Oreochromis niloticus: one gene and its partners. The protein of the gene in region 3 purifies or fractionates together with the protein of the main gene of each other region. This does not show direct contact. Links are inferred from orthologs where the notes say so. Each region holds a gene or a part of one and is shown on either strand. Other genes may lie near its edges. The genes, in order: wdr44, evi5b and ras-related protein Rab-11A.

What was found.
Region 1: the proteins of ras-related protein Rab-11A (region 3) and wdr44 purify together in Homo sapiens (affinity purification with mass spectrometry; 3 studies listed by BioGRID and IntAct, counting the BioPlex papers as one, with this or other methods). This does not show direct contact. The link is inferred for Oreochromis niloticus from reciprocal best matches to the Homo sapiens genes RAB11A and WDR44.
Region 2: the proteins of ras-related protein Rab-11A (region 3) and evi5b purify together in Homo sapiens (co-immunoprecipitation; 3 studies listed by BioGRID and IntAct, with this or other methods). This does not show direct contact. The link is inferred for Oreochromis niloticus from reciprocal best matches to the Homo sapiens genes RAB11A and EVI5.

What each region holds. Positions count from the first base shown.
Region 1 is NC_031975.2:12,131,578-12,138,549, forward strand, and holds the start of wdr44 (WD repeat-containing protein 44), read left to right. Parts: upstream 1-3,946; 5' UTR 3,947-4,410; coding exon 4,411-4,487; intron 4,488-5,290; coding exon 5,291-5,324; intron 5,325-6,972. UniProt on the Homo sapiens protein: Downstream effector for Rab11 which regulates Rab11 intracellular membrane trafficking functions such as endocytic recycling, intracellular ciliogenesis and protein export.
Region 2 is NC_031986.2:31,245,983-31,253,072, forward strand, and holds the start of evi5b (EVI5-like protein), read left to right. Parts: upstream 1-4,067; 5' UTR 4,068-4,339; intron 4,340-7,090. UniProt on the Homo sapiens protein: Functions as a regulator of cell cycle progression by stabilizing the FBXO5 protein and promoting cyclin-A accumulation during interphase. May play a role in cytokinesis.
Region 3 is NC_031965.2:5,551,706-5,559,650, forward strand, and holds the start of ras-related protein Rab-11A, read left to right. Parts: upstream 1-4,927; 5' UTR 4,928-5,076; coding exon 5,077-5,116; intron 5,117-7,945. UniProt on the Homo sapiens protein: The small GTPases Rab are key regulators of intracellular membrane trafficking, from the formation of transport vesicles to their fusion with membranes.

The DNA of each region.
Region 1 (6,972 bases), on a different chromosome or scaffold from region 3:
TGTATGGGAGAGAAACTAAGACTGACTTTGTTCCTAGCAAAGGCTTCATGGTCCTATCTTTAAACACGTCTGTCTCCATTAGCCGGACTGCGACAGCTGTTCAGACTCAACAGACAAGGCAACCAAATGGGAGCTTTGCTCATTTTCTGGCCATGTTTGACTCCATACTGTCGGTACACCTCCGGTGGGAACAGGCTAATGCTACCTAGCTAGGCTAACCCTAACGTTAACATTTGCTAGCTTAAAATAACATCAAATCACGACAGTCGACTTTGTGGTTGTCGCGTAAGTTTCTCTTAAGCACTCTTCCCATAGCGACATTAGCTTAACCAGTGACGGCGCAAAGGACTGTGGTCCTAATATAAGTTAGTTGGTTTAGTTATTAGTTGGTCTGGTTGGTTGGTTGATCTGCCACCACCAACAGATGCCTATGGCTAACTGACAACCCGGTATGTGTTGAGCTTAATATACTATATATAGCATTTTCATTAATGTAGGCAGTTTAACTATACTCTGCAAAGTTTTAAAAAGCAAATTCCATACCTTCCACAACGATATAGCGTTACCTAGCGTCCTTGTTTTCCTTCCAAGCCCTCAAATCCACTTATACCCCTGAAGCCTCCTTCCTAGTTTTATCCAATGCAGTTGTAGCTTACTAGGAAAGCCGGAGTATCCACACTTTCCATTGGCGGAAGAGTATGGCAATCTTCTCTCATTGGCTTAAAACTTCCGTTACTAAATAATGGTTTTAAGACAGCTTTTTTTATTTGAAGCACCTGGACACTGAAATGCCTGGATAATACTTTGTGAGGTGAACCATAGGCTTCCATTTAAAAACATTCGTGAGCAATATTCATAATCAAAAGTATCACATGTTGGAAATTAGTGAGACGGACGCACAGAAAGTATGGTAATTAGGTTGGTTATTTATTTATTTGTTTGTTTATTTATTTTATGTTTTGTTTTTTTGTTTTTTACAAAAGCAGAAGTCTGAATTTAGAGTTTGAATATTGTGGTAACTCAAGTGGAAATTTCCAGATGAGCTAATGTGAGAGGCTAATGTTGTTGAAATATGGAAGTGATTTGTTTTTTCACAGGTACAGCAGAGATACGTGTTCCTGCTGCCCAATTGCATTCCAGCTTAAACAGCAAAAATTTAAAGGACTCTGACAAATAAGACAACACATACCTTATTTATCCCAAAAGTCAGGAATTCTTTTTTTTTACACCATGTAAAATTAATTAAAAAACAAACAAATAAATATGTTAAATAAAATTAAATAAAATATAACAGCAATACATTTTTAAAAAAGTAAAAGATGGATCAATTCTGCAATGAAAATGACCAAATAGACAAACAATAGCCACATTTGCTCACAGTATGTAAATAATTTTAAAAGACAAAATGTCTTTTTGAATGACAGGCTACCTGTAAAATATGTTTGTTATTTTTTTTATAAAAAGTACAAAAAACTCTTTAATCTCTTTGATGAGTCTTGTGACTTTGTCTTGTGACTCAGAGATCCTCTTCTGCATGCTTTGGTTGTAATGGGTGGTTATTTGAGTGAACAGCTACAGTCTACAATGACAAAATGCGCAAAAATAATGTATGCATTCACTAAAATGCACTCAGATTCTCCAATAATCACCTTTCTGCGACCTCCACCTTTTCATGCTCTTGAATAATCCATTAGATTGTAGTCTTATTATCAATCAGCTGATGCATTGATCTGGAACAAAGAGTGCTTTGATTGCAAATGAAAAAAGTTCAGTCTGTGGTGACTGTTTTGAACTGCATTCACTGTGCCTGTCGCAGCATGTGAGAAAGAATGAGCGGTGCATAGAGCGGCTAACATATGAGCGTGTAACTTAAATGAGTTTTTCAATGGATTTACTGAGCACTACAATTTAATTACACTTTCTAGTATACTTAACAATACCACTGCACTAATTACTGATCAGTAACCGTGTATAGAGTGGGGGAAATGATTGTTTGAGAAATGCTGAGTATGATCAAAAGAGCACCATTCCTACGTTCAAGCACAGAGGTGAAAACATTATGCTTTTGGTTATTTTTCTGCTAAAGGTACAGGACGACTTCACCACATTGAGGGACCAATGAGTTGGGCCATGTACAATAAAATCTTGGACAATAACCTTGTTTGCTCAGCCAGAAGACTAAAGATGGGTCATGGATGACTTTTCCAGCATGACAGTAGCCAAAACCAAGGCAACAAAGAAGCACTTTAAGATTATGGAGTAGCTTAGCCACTCTCCAAACTCTCTCAGTCCTGTAGAAAATCAGTGGAGGGAGCTGAACCTTTGAGTTTCCAAGTTGCAGCCAAGAAACCTAAAAAAGTTTCTGTAAAGAGGAGCGGGCCGAAATCCCTCGTCAGATGTGCACAAACCTGGTGACCAACTACAAAAAAACTTCTTACTGCCATGCTTGCTAACAAAGGTTTCTCCAACAAGTACAAAATCATGTTTTGATTGGGGCTCAAATACTTACTTCACTGAATGATATGCAAATCATCTTATAATTTTTATGTAATGTTTTCTTTTTGGGTTCTTGGTTAAAATCCTTTCTCTCTCAGTTAAAATAAAACTACCATCAAATTTGGAGACTGTTAATTTCTTTGTAAGTGAATTCATCAAAAGATCAAAATAGTTATTTCCATCACTGTAGCCTGGTCACATTTATTTAGCCGGTTTTCTGGTGACCTTACATATAATTAATATTATTCTAACTAATAATTAATATATTATTATTATGTCTTTGTGTCTGCTTAAAACAATCAAATGTCAGCAAGTCTCTAAACTGCTCATTAGTGGACAACTCACATGCAGTTTGCATACAAACCAAATCTGCCAGTAGATGATGCAACCATATACATGCTGCAGAGAGCTAACTCCCATCTAAAAAAATGGCTGCATGCAGAGGATCACTTCCTTTGATTTCTCAAATTAAAATGATCCAGCTCTTCTCTCTGCTGAGAGAAAAGCGATAAGAAATGTCAGTAAACATGTATACCATCTCATGGGTTACTGACAGAGATTAGTCAGTGCTATGTCTGATTTGGTGATGTGCAGCACAGAAGCTCCACAGACTTTCAATGCATGCGACCTACAGAAATACTCTGACAGTTCTGCAGTGGCAGTGAATTTATTAGTGATAGGCAGGAGGAGTACAGAGCACCAGTGGATGATTGTGTGGCGTGTTCTGTGAGGAAAAAGCAAAATGATGAGATTTTCTGTCAATTAGGCGTTGCAAGCCCAGTGTACTTGCCTGTGGTCTGCTTTGGGAGCAGCATCAGTGCTGGTGACATGAACAGAATCATTGAAAAGGCTAACTCTGCGATTGCCAGCAAACTGGTCACTTTTGAAGCTGTGGTGAAGCTGTGGTGTCAGTGAGCAAACTTTAAACTCCATCATGGATAATCCTGTCCCCCTCTGCATCACTGACAGGCAGCGGATCACCTTTTCCAACAGACTGTTTCAGCTCCACTGCCACAAGGACAGATATAGGAAATCTCTCAGACCAAATGCTACCAACCTCTATAATTCAAAAATGTCTGTCAGAGAGTCATCTCCCAGATACACTAATAATAATAATAATTTCTTAAATATGGGTTAAACAAACTGTTGCTCATCTGATTACGTGTCTAATCATGATCATATCATCCTGAGAGGATTATTTAGGAACCAAAAACTAGACCTTGCTGCTAGACCAACTAATACACTCTACTCCACCTGATCAGTGGCTGTTATTCTCTTGCTTGTTCAGTGAGTATTGTAATGTATACAGTAATTTTATAAAACTCACAATAGTGAAGTAAAATGAGTGAGAGTTAAAAGATTTAAAAAAAGGATTTAACAACCAAGTTGTTCCATCCAGATTCCAGTCCAGAAGGTGGCAGTAGTAGCCGTAAAAGCTGTTCTCCAACCGCCATTGAAGAAGAAGAAGAAACAAGAGGGCGCCTGTGCCCCTCCCTTGCTTCGTTAGGATGTATTTTTTGTGTAGCTGGTTTGTTTATGACGCGGTTCTCTGGTTCTGTTAGCTTGACAGCTTATCAAGCGTATAATGTTGTGAAAAAGCAAAACAAAAAACTCGGTTGTGGCGTTTTTCTCGTTCGATACGGTGCTTTGTGCAAGATAGATCTAAAAGAGGATCAGGACTAGCTAGCATTAAGTGCTGCTTAGTCGTAAGACAGGATTACATTTGTTAGCTTTAGCGTAATGTTGGACCGGAAAGTTGTTATTTGACGACTCCCGGGCTCGGGCATTGAAATATCAGTGTTAACATAGAGGACGTTACAAGCGCATATGTAATACCTTTCAGTCATTGGCAGGTTAGGCTTATACACAGCTGCCTGGAAACTAGGCTAGCTAGCGAACTACATTGTCGTTAGCATGGCGTCAGATACAAGTGACACGGAGGAATTCTATGATGCTCCAGAGGACCCCAATTTTACTCCGTCTCCACAAGTGTAAGAAAAAACCTTTTGCCAATATTACTTTTGAAAACGGTGGTAAATGAACACGCGTTCCTGCCTGTTTTTGTCTTGTCTCATATGTATCTAGCTAGCGTAGTATTGACAGCTAACGTTAGATTTGCAAAATGGCCATTTTTTCATGAAAAGCATGAACTCAAGCTGCTTCAAAGCCAAGTCATGTGCCGTGTGCAAAACACGACCCAGTCTGTTTTGTATTTAGATGCCGAATATTAATTATATTCTGTCATACAGTGCTTGTGTTCACCAGCTAATCAATGCAGGTACAGGAGAGTCTAAACCTCAAAACGCTCACAAGTCACATGATGACAGTAGGATTTGGACTGAACGAACAGGTTTCTTATGAAAGCTGAAACCACAATGCAAATTTACAGTTTTAATTCAAAACACAGCTTGTTGGAATAACAAAAAAACCCGACTGAAGGTAGCAGTAGCTTACAAAGCAGTATTTTTGTATGATCCGCTGTATGACAGCTCGATTAGAGATTAAAAATGTAATGTACATTTTAAAGATGTATTTTGTGGGCGCTTAAAAGGAAGAGGTTACTGAACCACCCTGTAAATGTTTAAAGTATCTGGTCTGTTGCTTCTAATATTGTTTCTGATCAAAAGTTCTATATGAGGTAAAAGTTATCTAACTCAGATACATCGTCTCAACTGCTTAGGTGACAGATAAAATGATAAAAAGTTAGACTTTTGTGTTGTATTTGGTTTTTCCCCCCCCTGGTTTATAAGTTTAGCCTATATCAGTTTTAAACCATGTGTTTTGTGTTTCGTAGGTCTCCCGCAAAGTTCGTCATTCCTTCACCTCAGGTATGTTTATCTAAATCTAGGCACTGTTGAAACAAGGTGTCACGGGTTGTGCTGAGTTGCTCTTTGAATGATTACTACTTACTCTATAGTTCAAAGTAATATGGCAAAAAATAGTGACTTTTGATTTTTTCAGATTCATATATACATAAAACACTATTAGTTTGTAGCTTGTCTATAGTTTTCCTGTCTCTGAATGACCTTTGGGAAGGAGTGACTACAGTAAAAAACATATCTATGCATTTCCAGTTATGTTTAATAAACATATGTGTGTGTAATACAAATGAAACCCCAAATACTATACATACATTCTGAAAATCATATCTTTCTTCATTAATCTTGCTTTATCCATGTTTATCTCTATGAAAGGTGCAGATTTTTTCCTATATCTTTGATGATTGTGTGTAAACGGCTATGAGCAATACCGTTCCTAAACACCTTCGTGTACTAACAGTACAAGGTCCCCTCCAAGCTCATGGCAATGTAATGTGTTTTTTGACGACTACCTTTATGTTACCTCTCAGTAACATTTGCATTACTTTGCATGTTTTGCTTTTTTTTTCGTGTTTTTTTTTCATGACCTCGCAAAAAAATTTGCATTTCATCTGACCCATTGTAAAAGGCTTTACTGTTTTATGATGTGGTGTCATGTGGTATACTAGACTGCTGCTGGTTGTGACAGCAGTGAGAGTCAGGACACCCTCAGCTGTATATGTACTTATAACTGCAGAGTTGGGTTAGAGATCGTTGCTGTCAAGACTTGTTTTTTACAGTTATGGTTGTGACAAGTTTTAGTGGTGCAACATTGATTATTCACAGCGGTTTTGTGTGTGTGTGTGTACTGATGGTGTTGTTCCTGCTCCTGTTCCATCATTATAATAATGTTTGTCCAGGATGAACATTGCAACTGAGCAGTCACATTGTTGTCATGTCATAGCTTTGGAATGCGGAGGAAAAAGAAAAAATGCCTTTCTTTATATAAAAATCCTGAAATTGTAGGCATTTCAAATATTTTCCTTATTATTTTATGAATTATGACAAATATGTTATCAAGTTACGTTTGCCAAATTTAGGTTAGTTGGTTTTCTTGTGATAGTTTTTAATGGCGTTTTTAAAGATGGCGTTTTTCTTGCCTCATGCTAACTGAATGCTCAGACAATGTGATTAGTCATTTGCAAGTTTGATTCTGAACCAACATTGTTATGATGTTAGTTACATGTTAGCTGATGCTGATAGCTGTCCAGGATAAGAGTTTGATGCTACTGTATGTTGGTAGTATGACACATTTGTCACTGAAGACCTGATCTGGACCAACAAACAACCAAACTTTTCAAATGGATCATCAGGAATGCAAAGCAGGTTGTCAGAGAAAACAAGTTACTGCAATGAAATGCACAAATAATTGCAAGGAAAAACAAAAATAATATAAATGTTATTGCAAGGTGATGCAAACGTTAAAGACGACAATCACCTGACCTCACTCCATGCAGGAAATGGGACATAAATAGGAGAGCGGTATACAAATTTTGAGTGGTAACAAGATGTGGACATTACTTTCAATCTAGAAAAGCCATTTGTTATATCATAAGCTGGCAGTTACACAAGCAATTAATATAAAGGTAAACAAAGAATTATTACATAACATAACCTC
Region 2 (7,090 bases), on a different chromosome or scaffold from region 3:
TGCATTTTCTCTTATATTATTTCTCCATCTTCAGCAGGACATAATTCGGTTCCTAAGGTTTAATTAACTACAATATAATTTAGTTTGGTGTTGTTGTTACACGCTAAAAAAGAAAACTAAAAATACATTTTTATTGTGTTGAGTCTACAGTAGCAGACTTAAATATAAAGCTCATATTTAGGTTGAAGGAGCTTTAGAACTTTAACTCTTTCCCCTGCGGACTACAGGTCTGCTTCCAGAACAAAACAAAAACGTTATCAGCTTATCAGTGATACCTTTGAAAACCCCAGAACTCATTCTATAATATATATACATATAGTATATTTACTACAAACCACTTAGCTCTTGTTTTACCTTCTGTACAAGTGTGAAGAATCCAATTTGGACAAGCGATTCATTTTTTAATATATGTAAAGAAACAGTTATGACTGGTTAGTCAGAATAATCCACAGACACAAACGTGACCCCTTTTTCAACCTGTTGCAAATAAAGTGAAAGTGGAGTGTCTCAGTAATGTTCCCAGACAGGAAACACACTGTTGAAACTTAGTGTCAGTTTTCAGTTCACAGATGCACCTAAAAACAGTAAGTGGTGTTTTATATTATAGCATATCTGTTAGTTCGTGATTTATTGATGTAGACAGGGAAACTCACACAGACAAAATAGTAAGATATAGAGTGGCACTAGGTTCTGTACCAGGACCAATACTTTTCACATTTTTCATGCTTCCAGACATGGCCAGCACTTGGTGTCTCAGGAGGGCAATGCTGTCCCACCCTGGACAGCTCCTGTTCAACCTCATGCCCTCTGGTAGGAGGTATAGGTGTTTAAAGTCACCTTTTTTTCCCTAAGCCATCAGAACATTGAACAATAAGGCCAGTGATTGGACATAGTGAGCCTCACTCACCACCCCCTACCTGTTAATATTCAGTACAATTTTCACACAAACACCAGCATAAACATGGCACAGTATACAATAACACCCACAACATGGCTGTTGCAAAAATAAAGGAATCTTTACCTTTATCTTTACAGCACTGTAACCTGACTGAGCCATTGATACAAGTCATGATGGATCCTTTTTTCATGATGTTTGCACCCAATTTATGTCGCAGCTGAAATCAATGCTGATCAGATCAATAGCACTGTGAGATGCTGCACTGATTGATTTGGTATCAATCAGATATCAAGTAAATAGAGGGTCAGTGTTGCCGATACCATACCTTTAACTAATAAAAGCATGATTTTTATTTTCCACATTAATTAGTTAACACAATAAAACACACTTTTCAGCTTTTCATGTATTTGGAAACTGGGTTTTTTGAAGACGTGGAATGTAAATGTGTCTGTCTTTAAAGTACTATATTTATTTATAGCATTATCAACTATAAATAAAATAGATGTGACAGTCAACACAAAAGGTTCAGACAGATTTCATAGTGCCATTGAGCTATATTTTTTGTTTCCAAAGAAAATAATTTATTTAACATAATTCACTGGGCTACATACTGAACTCAGAGGGTAGAAACAACATATCGATTTCATCACAGTAGTATCAACTGGACACCAGTACACGAGTCCACTTCTACAGACCAGACAACAATTTCCCAGTCATCTGTTCTCCAGTTTTGGTAAGCCCATGCTGACCGTAGCCTCAGTATCCTGTTCGTAGCTGACAGGAGTAGCACCTGGTGTGGTCTTCTGCTGCTGTAGCTCCTCTGCTGCAAGGTTTAGAGATGCTCTTCTGAATACTTTGGTTGTAACAAGTCGTCATTTCAGTTATTGTTGCCTTCCTGTCAGCTCAAAGCAGTCTGGCCATTCTCTTCTGACCTCTGGCATCAACAAAGCATTTTTTACCAGAGAACTGCCACTCACTGGATTTTTTTTTTTTCCAGACCATTATCTGTAAACCTTAGATAATCCCAGTAGATCGGCAGTTTCTGAAATACTCAGACCAGTCTATCTGGCACCCACAAATATGCCATGTTCAAAGTCACTTAAATAACTTTTCTTTCCTATTGTGATGCTCGCTTTTCATTAATGAGCAGTTGATGATGTGTTACTAATAAAGTTGTGGGTGAGCATATAAAATAGAAAATAAAGACCTCATTGCATCCCATTAGAGTAGATCTCTCTCTGAGTGCAGGCACATTTGTGGTTCCAAAGCAGAAACTGAGTCATAGACTGCATTGAGGACACTGGTCTTATGCTGCGGTGCTATATAAATGCAACTGAATTAATTGGAATTTTTTATTTTCTCTGCAATTACGGGAATCCACCGTTTAACATAAAAATACATTTTCCATGTCCTGATCTTTGACAGTGCACTTTGAGGTGTGGTACAAATCAAGATAGTACAGTAGTATGGATGTTAATCATGTCTGCATCAATAATTGAGCGATAACTGTAGACATCAGTTAGGAGTGTGTGACTGCAAACAACACAAGCAGAGTCACAGTTTGATGACGCTCCTTCTTCACAATAATTTGTCTCTTTGCTGGCTCAGCCAATATTAGCACAAAACATTATAAAGATCTATTTATAAAAAGCCAGGCAACTTTCTCATCTATTTTAAGGTCTCTGTGACTCAACTGTTTCGTCATAATCTACCTCAATAATGTGCGTTACAATTTGGGTGTGCAGCCAGAAGTATGTAAATATTTATGGTTGACGGGCTGAGATGTGATTGTTGACAGTGTCTCAGAGTTAGAAGCCTACATTCACTGTGGTGTTGCCAAGTGTCAACTACAGTTCGAGTTGCTTTTCAGACACTGTCATGGAGGAAGGAGTGTCCGGCTTGTCAACAAAAGAAATGCGTCACTGCTCTCATGTGAAACCTGAAAAGTAGGTTTCATGAGTGCGTGGTATGTGATTCTAGGTAGTCAGTCGAGTCATATTTTTACCGGAGCAAGTGATTGCTGCATTATGAGCTACATATAGCTACTGAAGGCACTTTGATTGAGGTGTCATATTATAGATATTTTTCAAATTAATATTTCCTGATACGTTAAAGTAGTTTTTGAAGGTTTACACCAGAGTTTTTTCTGGACTTGTTTATGGTGTTTTTCTGCTTTTTCAATGAAGATAAGATTCCTTAACTGAAATTTATAAAGACCAAAGTGTTTGTACCTCCAGGTTTCATCTAACACAGGTATTTTTCTCTCAGCAATGAATTTCAGGTAAGAAGATTAGGTAAGCATTAAAACATTTGTGTGGAGCTCTTTTCTTTGACTTGAAGATTTTACATTGTATGGACACACTGGTTGCAAATTAGAGCTGTTGAAAAACAGTCATGACATGAGGTGATATCTGTCGTATCGTTGGCAAAAAGACAAATAAGCCTAATTTGAATGGTGTGAATGGTTCGCTTTTTTATATCCTGTTCCCTGAATGCTTTGTGTATTCTGTAGCGTGTTATGACACTTTGGAGCTAAATTTAAATAATGAAAAAAGGCATAATTATTTGAAAAGTACTTGGACAAACCTAATACAGGCTTATAATTTTGATTCCTTTCAAAGATATTTCATATGTATCTGCTTCTGTCTTTGATAACAGGATTCTTTACGTATTTTGTTTCTTAAAATGTCTTATCCATATATATTTTTTAAACAGGTTACAACTTCTCACTCACTCTCTCTCACTCTTAGTTTATTAAAATTGTTAATGAAACTTAATTAATTCACTAACCAGCTTTTGAACAAGATATTTAACATAATGTGAAAAACCTGTCCTGGCAAGCAGGTTTAAGGTGTCACTTTAGTTGTGTTTGTACAGTTTGTGTTGCCGCGGAGAGTAATCATAAAGAGCAAAAGTAATGACGTCCTCAGGTACAGTCAGAAGCACAGCTAAATCATCTGTCATCATCAATCTAGCTGATGATCTTAAAGCTATTCACAAGGAAGAGCATAGGGAAGAAAACTTAACTTAATTCCAATCTTTTCTATAACAAGTACATTGATTTTCCCTTAACAACGAATGAAAGAAATGACGTATTGGAGGTGCAGTTGCGCAATTTGAACGCTTGGTGTCAGTATTGTCCCAAATCGGGCATGCTCTGTGGGATGTAAACACTCCGGTAGGCCGCCGTCTGTCTCAGCTCCGCAGACATTTGTGTACACGTATTACGGCTGCATGGGCTGGACCCAAGAGTCAATGGGAACGAGCTAACTTAACGCTGGCTAGCTTTCAAGTGGAAACCGATCTAGGCTATCTTGGGTAACATATGTACTTGGGTGAACCGTGTGAAAACCTGTCGTTTTCTCATAGTATCAGGACTAGCACACTTTCGTGCATGGGAAGCAGGCGACGTCTGCTGCGGGTGGCTAAAAACGGTTCAAGGTAAATGATGTTCTTGCTATTTTCGGGCTATGTCTAAATACTGGAACGATCAGTAAGTCGTAAAATCTTAGTTCTCACCCGTGACTGTTAACGTGAACAGTGTGACATTACTTTAAAGTAAAGCAGATTATCTTTACTTAACTCAAAAACTGCGGTTTAGTATTAGCGTGTATCACGGCTTGTTGGCGCTGTTGCTTGTGTTAAATGTTTGCTGTTGATCTCCAAACTACTTTATAAAGGACTCGGGCTATCGCCTGGAACAAAAAAACAAAACCTAGAAAACACTTCATCCTTTAATAAGCAGTGTATTTATTCTTGCAGAGTAGTGTCTGTTAAAGTCGCATTTATTCAACATGTAACCTCCTGTAGTGTTGTCCGACGCGTCGACTTTAGAGCCTTCTGGAAGACAGAGTGTGCATACTGTTGCATTTGATGCTAGATCTCCATTTCGTCATTTCACAACATCAGCAAGCCATAAAAGGAATCGGGAGTTCGGCGTCTAATGCATCTGTACTCAGCTTCCCCCGTCCCCTAACGTGTTTTTGATAGGTGAACAATATTATGTGTGTGTCAGTAGACTAAGCAAAGGATTTAAACTGCTCAGCAGTAGTGTTGGCTGTGTTGCAGCCAAGCATATGCGTCAGTCCAGCTGCAAAGAAGTGACTTGCAAGTTGCAACAGCTCTCAGAGTAGAGATCAAGCGGACTTTTAACCCACCAGAAGTTATTATAACAGGAAGAAACTTCACCAGACCGAATTAAAGTGTATTTCATTCGTACTTTAAATTCCTAAAGGAATTTAAACTGATCTAAATGTATAATATTGCCAGACTAATGACCTAAAACAGTGCATTATATTGAGGGATGCACAGACTGTGTAACATGGGGCTTATACAGATTTTTTTTTTTTTTTTTAGTTTAATATAGAATCTGCCAATTCACAAAAGTCATCTCAGGGCTCTACATTTGGTGACGGGAAGACCATGCAATATTAGAGTGAGAACCGCTACGATCAGAGATGTCCTATGAGCAGCACTTGAAAATGGCGGGGAGGAAGAACTCTCTGTCAACAGGAAGAATTTACCAGCAGATCCAGGCTTAGTGAGGAAGGGCTATCTACCTTAACTGTTCAGAGAAGGAGAAGAGAGATGACAAACAAACTATGTGAGAGAGAAGAGAAAAGTTGCTAATATCACTATGATCATTTGGCCAGGTGGAAATTGATGTGACACAAAGGATAAATATCAGCTATCAATGTCATTTTATTTGCCAATATGCCAGTATCAGTGTTATTTATCATCGTGATAATTATCGTTTCCTCTACCTGTACTTAGCTCATCATTTCACTGAAATAATCAGTTTCAATACACATTTACCTCAGATTAGCATTTATTTTTTTGTTGTAGCTTGAGCCACAGTGCATCGATGAACAACTTTGGTTCATGTGGTGTCAATTGCCAAATTCCCAACAAACACATAACAACTTCTCACACTTTTTGTATGTCAGTGAGTCAAATCCGTGAACCCAGGGGACATGAAGCTTCAAGAACTTTCCTGTGACCCCCGTATTTAAGAGTCTTTGGAGAACATGGATCAAGGAGTTACAATAAATCGTGTGTGACTAAGCGAAGCAGAGGATGATCGTGTTATGTACTCGCCACCTACACTCTATGTATGTGTCTTTGGCTGAACAAGAAAAAAGTACATTTGAATCTATTTTTGGTCATTTTACACAGAATAACAGTGGTTTTCTCCCTCAGAGAACTTATTGCCAACAACTAGTACTGAAAACAAGAAGTAACATTTAACTTGTCATGAGACGAAAAGCCAAGCTGTAATTATTACTGTAAACAATGTGTCAGGTCTGTTTATATTAGCATGTGGCCTGTGAGAAATATTATAACTGCAGTACCTAACTGAATGCATCCAGTTTAGCCTGTGATTTCAACCCTGTGGTGCATCAAAGCAAAGATAATACCTACAAATACAATCACCAGTAATGCATTACATTATTTGTGTAGCATAGAAAGAAAATCCTAAAAGCCACAAATCAGTAATGCTGTCACTTCAGTGTAGTTTCAGTGTTTTGATCCCCCCAGCCACCATTTTCCCCCTTGTGAGTTTTTTTCTTCTTCCCCACAATTTCACTAACGTGTTTATGTTACCCTCATTTATTTAATAAGTATGATCAGGCGGATTCAACTTATATTTATATTATATTTAGTGTATATTTATATAAAAAAGCAAGACAAAAAGGCCTTATAGTTAATGTTTTAGATTGGCTGTAGCTGTTTCTCCCAGTGAATAAACCATCCATGGCTGAAATTTAAGTACTGGTATTATATAAAATAAGCTGCTGCCAGCACATATGATTTCCCACACTACTGTAATGCTAGATTTTTGTGGGCCAAATGTAGCTCTCATTATGTGGGTGCACGCTGAAGAATAGCCTTCAGCAAGACCATTGAAATTCCGATGCTACACTGGGAAAATCTGCACTTGTGTGTGTGAAGTCAAAGGCCTTCCCACCTCAGAGTGTGTGTCTGTGTGTGTTATTATAAGTCAGGCCTGCGTTTTAACACCCTCACAAAGCACATGGACATTTTTTTTCCTCTGAGACTAGAGTCTCTGATGCTCAGCCAGACAAATTTGATGTAATTCCCCTCCTAGAAATGGGAACACGAAAGCCGAGTGACTGTAAATATCTTCTTGACTGAAACTTCAAGCTTTACATTTAGCTAAGAGTTCTGAGA
Region 3 (7,945 bases):
AAAACCCTGACCTGGACAGACGAAGCTTTTTTGGGACTGAAGGCCAATCACAAATGTTTTCAAAATGGATTGGTTTTGCCTGAGGTTGGGTCCTTGGATATGAACAAAGTCTCATCTGTAGCACCTTCTGTTAAATACTTGCATTTTATTGTTGACAAGAATCTCAGCACTGCTGCCATGGATTCAAATGGGCAAAAGGTTTGAAATCATTACGTTAGGTCTTGATCTTAGCCCTGTTTTAACTCACATCATCAGATCCTTTGAATCTTCATCCTCAAATCAAACCTGATCTCTTAAACCAAACTCAGGGCTGTAACACACAAAAACGTTTATAAATATTCTTATTTACTCACAATTTATTACAATGAGTTATTGTCAGCAGATTAGACAAGTGGTCTCCTTTGTCTCCGACCATTATTGTGAAGCACTTTGTGGTTTTTATCCTGTGTAGAGTGCTATTTAAATCAATAAAGTAAAGTAAAGACCAACTGACAATGAGGCTGCTGGTTATGGGCTAACCACATCACTAGTCACATCATGTCAGGATTAATTTTCTAGGTGTCGGAGTCAAACAATGTTAGATCAAAGTTTTATGAATGCCAGCTAACAGCAACAAAACGGCAGTGCTTACTGACAGAAAGATTCAGGATATCCTGAGCAACTCAATTCAGTATTGTGATCGGATAGAAGTGAGCTCTACTGATAGATCCACCCATCTTGGACAGATTTCTCAGTTTTACAGCCTTCTCCAGAGTAAATAGACATATTGACATAGTAAACTTGGCTATCTGAGTTTAAATAACAAATATGTGAAAACAGTATGCCACTTCCTAACCAATGAAGAGACAACATTTTTCAAAAGTGTATCCGCTCCAAGAAAGGAGCCAAGATGCTGAAACAAACTGATACGTACTCGGCCCTGGATCATTAAGGGCAACTGTGCTGCAGTACGAGATGAGACAACCATACCTAAGTACACCCAGTACTTTGAAGAGCTTAGAAATGCTCCTGTTGTTATTTTTCTACGTGTCCTTTGGCATCAGTGTCTTGACCCACTCACACCAGCAATAATAGGTTTAGGGAAAAGATTGTGGTTTTAGGTAAAGTAAACTGACAAACAGCAGGGTAAAAAGTGAAGCCAGTGCAAAATCAACAAAACTCCAAATCCTACAGTGGGTGATTTTAAAAAGAAGTTAGTTAGTCAGTAAAAAATAAATAATAAAGTGTGCTAACACAGGTAGCTATAGCTACTAGCTATCTGCAGGTCTCAATTCTTTAACTATCTTTAATTATTGTTTTTTATGTAAATGGTTTACAGGCACCATGATACTGAAAAATGCAGCCGATTAACACTCTGTCTTACATTCACTTGTTGGAATCACTGAACTGATCTCTTGGTCATTTTTTGTGCTGTCTGGAATTAGATTTATGCCAGTTACTAATTATTTAATTTGTAAGATGACCATTCATCTCATATATTACTGATAATATCCATATTTTCCATATTTTATTTGTTGTTTGTCATAACTTTGATTTTTCTCTTTCTCATCAGTTCAAAAAGTTGTGGCAGATGTGAGTTTTCTCTAACCTGCTTCAAGTGCTTGCTCATAGGTTAATGTTGGGTCTTTCACTGTGTAATATAAATTGCTTTTTGACAGTCATCACTGTAATATTGTGCTATATGAAGAAAATAAAACTGAATTGAATGGGTTTTTTCCACTGTAGTTATAAAAGTTCACATCTTTCTACAGTGGATCACTGAAACCTGTTTTTTGTTGATTATTATTTGTGTAGTTTGATTAAACTGTCAAATTCAAGTCTGTATCAAGTTCTCCTGTGGTGTTTAGAGAGGAGCGCCTTTCAAATGGTGTAGAGCACTAAAAAACTGCTCTCTAAAGTCTTGGCAGGGAGTCTGAGGACAAGTCCAAAAAGGGAAAAATGCTATTTGGCATTTTAAAGACGTCGCCATATCTGTTTTTGTCATGGTCATGCAGCATGCTTAGCGACCAACAAGCCACAGAGCTGAATAAGTAGCTCACATATTTACATGCTAATAGATGCATGGGGAGACTGTCTGTTCAGCATCTTCTTACCAAATGACACAATTACAGGCTTTGACTGGAAGATCCGACATGATAACCAAGAAGCAGTGTCATGGGCTGCTATATCTGATCACGGCAACCTGAACTCAACTGAGATGATATGGGATAAGTTGGAGAACATGTCATACGTGTTTTCTTGTTCTCTTTGCTTTCTTGTTAGTCAGATGTGAGGTTTCTCTAACCCACTGTTGAGTTGGAATACATGGCAAAGTATCTAACAACACCCTCACAAGTGGATCTCCTTCAAACTGCATGTTGATACATCCTGGGCACTATTCCAGGAACATCTGAGTTTGTTAACCCTGAGTTGAAAGAAACTCCTCGTTTTCTGTTTCAGAAAGAAAATTAACATAATCTCAGACTCTCAAGGTCCCTGAAGAGAAAAGGGTAATTAAATCCACTCAGAAATGAGCAGGAATATACAGGAATGACAACAGACGCTGGGCAACAACAACAACAACAAAAAGGCAGAGCTTAAATGTTTAGAACAGAATAGGGCTCTATTCTCATTGTACATGTACAACAAAATTGTGAGTGCTCCACACCAACTGTGCTAAAATAAAATATAAATAGGTGTCAGCAGGAATAAATAGCAAACAAGATAGATATATACAAAAATCAGAGGACAAAATAGTTGCAAAGTGCTTAAAGCAGTGCAAAGAGTTGAATGGAGTCCGTGTGTGAGTGTCCTGAGTGACGGATGTCATTCAGACCATGGCTCAGATCAGTGAGGTGGGTGGGCAGGGGTTGGGTGTGGGGGGGATAGTGTTTGTTGACTGTCCGAATAGCCCAGGAGAAGAAGCTGTTTGTGCTTCTGGAGGTGTGGGACCTGATTGACCAACCAGAGGGCAGCAGGTCAAATATGTGGTGGGTGGGGTGCAAGGAGTCACCTGTGATTGCTTCCAGGAACGCAGGGGCAGCCAATGATTTGTTGGGGCATTGTTAGCTACCCTATGCGCAGCATTGCTGTTCTCAGTAGCGTGTACCAAACACCAAGGCAGCAGGAGAACACAATCTTCACTGAGGAGCAGTAGAAGGCAGAAAGCAGCTTCTAGGTTATTCTTTCTCAAGACACGGAGGAAGTACAGCCAGTGCTGGGCCTTCTTTACGTTGGTGTTGTGGGTCCAGGGGGGTGGACGGAGATGTTGGTTGGGTGGCTTGGGGTACAGTCATAGATGTATAGGGCACACAGTAGGCGCTGAGAGCGTAGTCCTGTGAGGAACTCTTTGATCGAGGAGCAGGTGGCAGGGGGGATGTGGAGGTGGTCCAATTTGGATTCAGGATGTCTGAGATTATAGTGCTGAATTCTGAGCTGTAGTCCATGAAGAGCATCCTTATGTAGCTCTTCCTGTTCTCAAGATGGGTCAGCGCTCTACAGATGGGTCAAGGGATGAGGGTAGACAGTCCCTGATGTGGTGAGACACTATCTGCTCGACACTATCCGCTCGAAGCACTTCATGACTACAGACGGTAGGGCTATCGGTCTGTAGTCATTGAGCCTGTGTATACCAGACATTTTGGGGATGAGAACGGTAGTGGAGGCCTTCAGACAGGTGGGAACAGTGGCATGAGTCAGGGAGAGGTTGAAGAGCCTGGTGAGGATCCCCCCAGTTGGTCAGCACATTTGTAGTTGGTGAGGGCTTGGATGCCTCTCCACACCTGGTGGAGGTTGTTATCAGTTAGGAAGCCCTCTATCCTCCTCCTGTAAACCTCCTTGGCCTGTTTGATGCCCTTCCTCATGTTGACTGTAGCAGTGCTGTACAGGTAACTGTCCCCTCAGCCTGAATTACAAGTTCTACACAATGGACTCAAGTGAAATGGACGCAGGAGGGTGACAAGATACACCTAAAACATAGTTAAAAATGAGACAAGGAAGCAAAACTAAATGCAAAACAGAGGAGACATCTAGCTCTACAAACTAAAATGGGCAGTAACAAATGTGGAACAGAAATAAAGACACTGGGAAAGCTAGACTAACCAAAACAGAAAGGATTACTTAATCGATATAAATACTCCATGTAAATATGATTTAAAAATATTAATTAAAAACACTCAATACAAATGCAGTTAAATCAGCACAACATTTATTTTCAAATACAAAAAAAATACCAAAAAATATGTCAGCTGGACACTTTTCTGCTGAATAATAAACAAGCATATTTCCATTACTTTAGCTTGTTATTTAAACATTTTTTAAATATGATAAAATTTAAATTTTATATATTTTTTTAATTTCAAACTTTAATCTTCATCTTCACTGACCACAGTAAGCACACCATTTTTGATGGAGGGTTCATGTCTCCTGGCATTAAACAGAAGGTTGGGGGAGGGGCATTTATAAATTGGTGTTGATAGATTTTAAATATGTAAAATGTTAAATGCAATCACCCATGACCATGCCGGATAGCTAGTTAGCGAGCACATTTACTATTAGCTAAAGTGGTTTTTGCTGCTGCCCCTGAAGCGCAGAATTCATGAATTTGGGACTTCTGAGGGTGCAGTTGAGCACTTGTATTCACTGATTTGAGAGGTTGTAACCACAGAGGTGTAGTTGTAAGCAGTTAAAAAAGTAAATAAATAAATAAATGAGTAAAAGTTGAATTACAAACATTAATTTACACATTTATTTATATTTTCTCTGTAACCATACATTTAAAACGCAAGTGAAAATACAAGTTCAAATTCTTTCTACACATTATCTCTTTTTATTTGACAAGCTCTCGCATTTTGCATCGTATTTACTTCCATAAATCGGCCCTAACGGAAAAGTTGATAGTTGGGAAGTATATTTTTTGACCACTAGATGTCTGATGTCAGAATTATGCCGGTTTTCTGCGGCAGCGAAGGAGAAGAAGAAAATACGGAAGTACGGCTCCCAAACACATTCCCGTTGGAAGAGTAAAATACTGCAGATTGCCGTATTTGCTTTGAAACGAAGCATATCTTGGACTAAATATTCAGTCTCAATAAGACGATGGGCACTAGAGACGATGAATACGATTATTTATTCAAAGGTAAAGATGTGAATTTCTCGTTAGTGTCGTAGCTTTAGCCGATAAGCTAAACAGGCCAGCTGGTCAGCTGTCAGGCTAACTAAGCCATCGTCAACCTTTGTGCTGTGGTTGATTTTCACCGAGCTTTCAGGAAATTGTAGGGAAGTTGATATAAGGGTGTATACCTCTAAACGGCCTTCACTTGAGGGTTGGCGTTAAAGTGCTATTTTCTTTACGTACGGTGTATTTAAGTGGGGCGTCTGAAAAGAAAAGAACACTAGCTATTAGCTTCTGTTAGCTTGTTGATAGTGGGCGCGGACACGCCTAGCGTTAACCGTTATCACGTTATCTTAGGTCCAGCTTGACAAGCTACAGAAACTTGTGTGAGGATTGGAAAGAATGCGTTAAGAGCTGCTTCATGAACACGTGACCACAATTTTAAACAATGACCCAAATCATTCTTTTCGCCATTATATTATTTTTAAAGTATTTTTATTACTGTGAATGTATAAACTTTGCTTAAAAAGTCAGGAAGATTGTGTCTGCTTTACTATTTTTGTGTCATAACAATGCTTCTTGGTAATAAGTCTTGTACTGTTGGAATGCCTTTCTATTTCTCCTTAAATGGTATCGCATGTTTGGGTTGCACAAATGAAGAACTATGCCAATGTCAAACAACTATCTACTCTTGTTTTGAGCTTCTGGTACGCCGGGTATGGACAATCTGATGTCTGATTAGCAGGGCATGAACCTGATCAGTCAACATGTTTGACTAATCTGGATGAGATCCATGTCATAGGGCAACCTCAAGCTGGTGATGTGCAAGACTAAGTTTCAGCATTATTTTGAATGAGTCCTAGTGCCATCTCCAAATTGAAGGCCAGGTCCCATATGAGGGTGGATATCAGAGACAGGCTGTGAAGTGGGTGTCCCAACAAGACGACATCACAAACACACTGTCAGTGCAGTGCTCAGTCTTCTACAGATTTGCAATCAAAGTTTGGAGGACAATATTTCTTATGGTTTTGTACCCAGACAACCTGGAACAGACTGCACAAAGTGTGTCAGGAGGCCTGCTGTGACTGCCCTTCACTGTTAGGTTCATTTGTGTTAATAACGGGTGCAATTGAACCCTGAATGTGTACAGGAATGTTACGTTCAGCAACGAGTCCAGATTGTGCTTACTGCAGTTGGCTCATAGTGTCAAGTGTCAGAGTATGGAGAGGATGTGGAGAACCCTGTGCTGATTGATGCACCGATACGGTGAAAGCTTTTGGTGGAGGCAGTGTGACGGTGAAGAGCAGCATCTCTCAATGGAAAAAACAAAGCTTCTCATCACTGGAGGTAATCTCAGTGGAGCTAGATATCAAGATGAGTTTCTGTAACCAGTGGCAATCCATATCTCCACAGTCTGGGAACAATCTCTGTCCTCCAAGACGCTTAACCCACACAGAGTGGAGTTTATCAGAGATTAAATCCAGAATATAGGTGTGGAGAGCATGGAATGATCTGCCAGCAGTCCTGATGTCAACCCAGCTGAATGCTTGTAGCATCAGCATGAAGGGGGGTTGTCCTGCCAGAGTAACCAACACAACCACACTGGCTGCTTTGTAATAAATATTGGTTGAAGAATAGGATGCAGTCCCACAGCAGTGTGTGGCCAAGCATGAGGAGGAGATGAGGCTGTCGTGGCTGTGTTTGGTTCTTCCACATGCTACTGAAGTCCCTGTTAAATGAATAAATTGTGAAATTGCCGGTGTGTCTTGTTTCTTCACACTTCCCATCCAATCCAATAAATGACAAACGAGTCAGTAGCAGAATGTGTTTGGCATTGGAAGTTTTGGCAAGTTTTTATTGGTGTAACCCACATACTCACCTTTGCTACTTAACCCACAACTCTATTTTTCTTTCACCATCAGGCAGCGTTTAAGCGGAAATAAACAGGTTCTTTAATGGTTTAAGATTTATTGCCAGGCAACATTCTTCCAACAAAGAAATAATCAACCGAACACTAATTTCCTTACTTTCTGTGCTAAGTTATATATTTGTACCCACACTAGTTTCTGTGATAGGCAAACTGGACAGTTCTTTCTTTTTTTTGTTTTTAAGAGATTTAGTGGCTTTTTTGAACAACCAACAACCTATGAGACTTTCACATATGGCAAAATTCACTTTAAATATTTGGGATCCCAGCACTCTCCTCATTTTGGTCTCACACATTCCTTTTTTATAAAATTTGCCTTATTCTGTTGTGTGCTTTTGAGTCCCCAGTTGAAGCTGTCACAAAATTATTACCACGCTTTATGAGTTGTTTTTTCTGTATTCATTGCAGTATCAAAGTATGATACTTTGATATGATGACTACTGACAGATATACTACTAACATAGTTCAAGACAGACAGGCTTTCTCTGCCTTTGCTTGTTCAACAAAACCTCATTGAAGTTTTGAGGCGGGTGACCTCATGCCTTCCCCTCATTGAAGATGACGGGAATCACAGAGTTGATTATCAGCTTTCTGTTAGACCGGGCTTTCTGCTTCAGGATCTGTGCATGCTCACATAAAAATGGGTGTTTTGTAGGTTATATGATTCTTTTGGGTAGAAAAGGATCCCCGAGTTTGCTGCCTATGCTACTCAAAATATTATCAGATGATGATAAAATAGTGATTAAAAAGCTATGAAGAACATATAAAATACAACAGTAAAATGCATCATTTGTGCAAATAAGATGGATAATTCTAAAGAAAATAGCTAACTGTGTGATTTAACGCACAGAGTAGTAAAATAAACATATCAAGTTAACTTTAACACTGAGTGCACTCTCAGTGCTGTTGACTTCTAAGGTGACGGC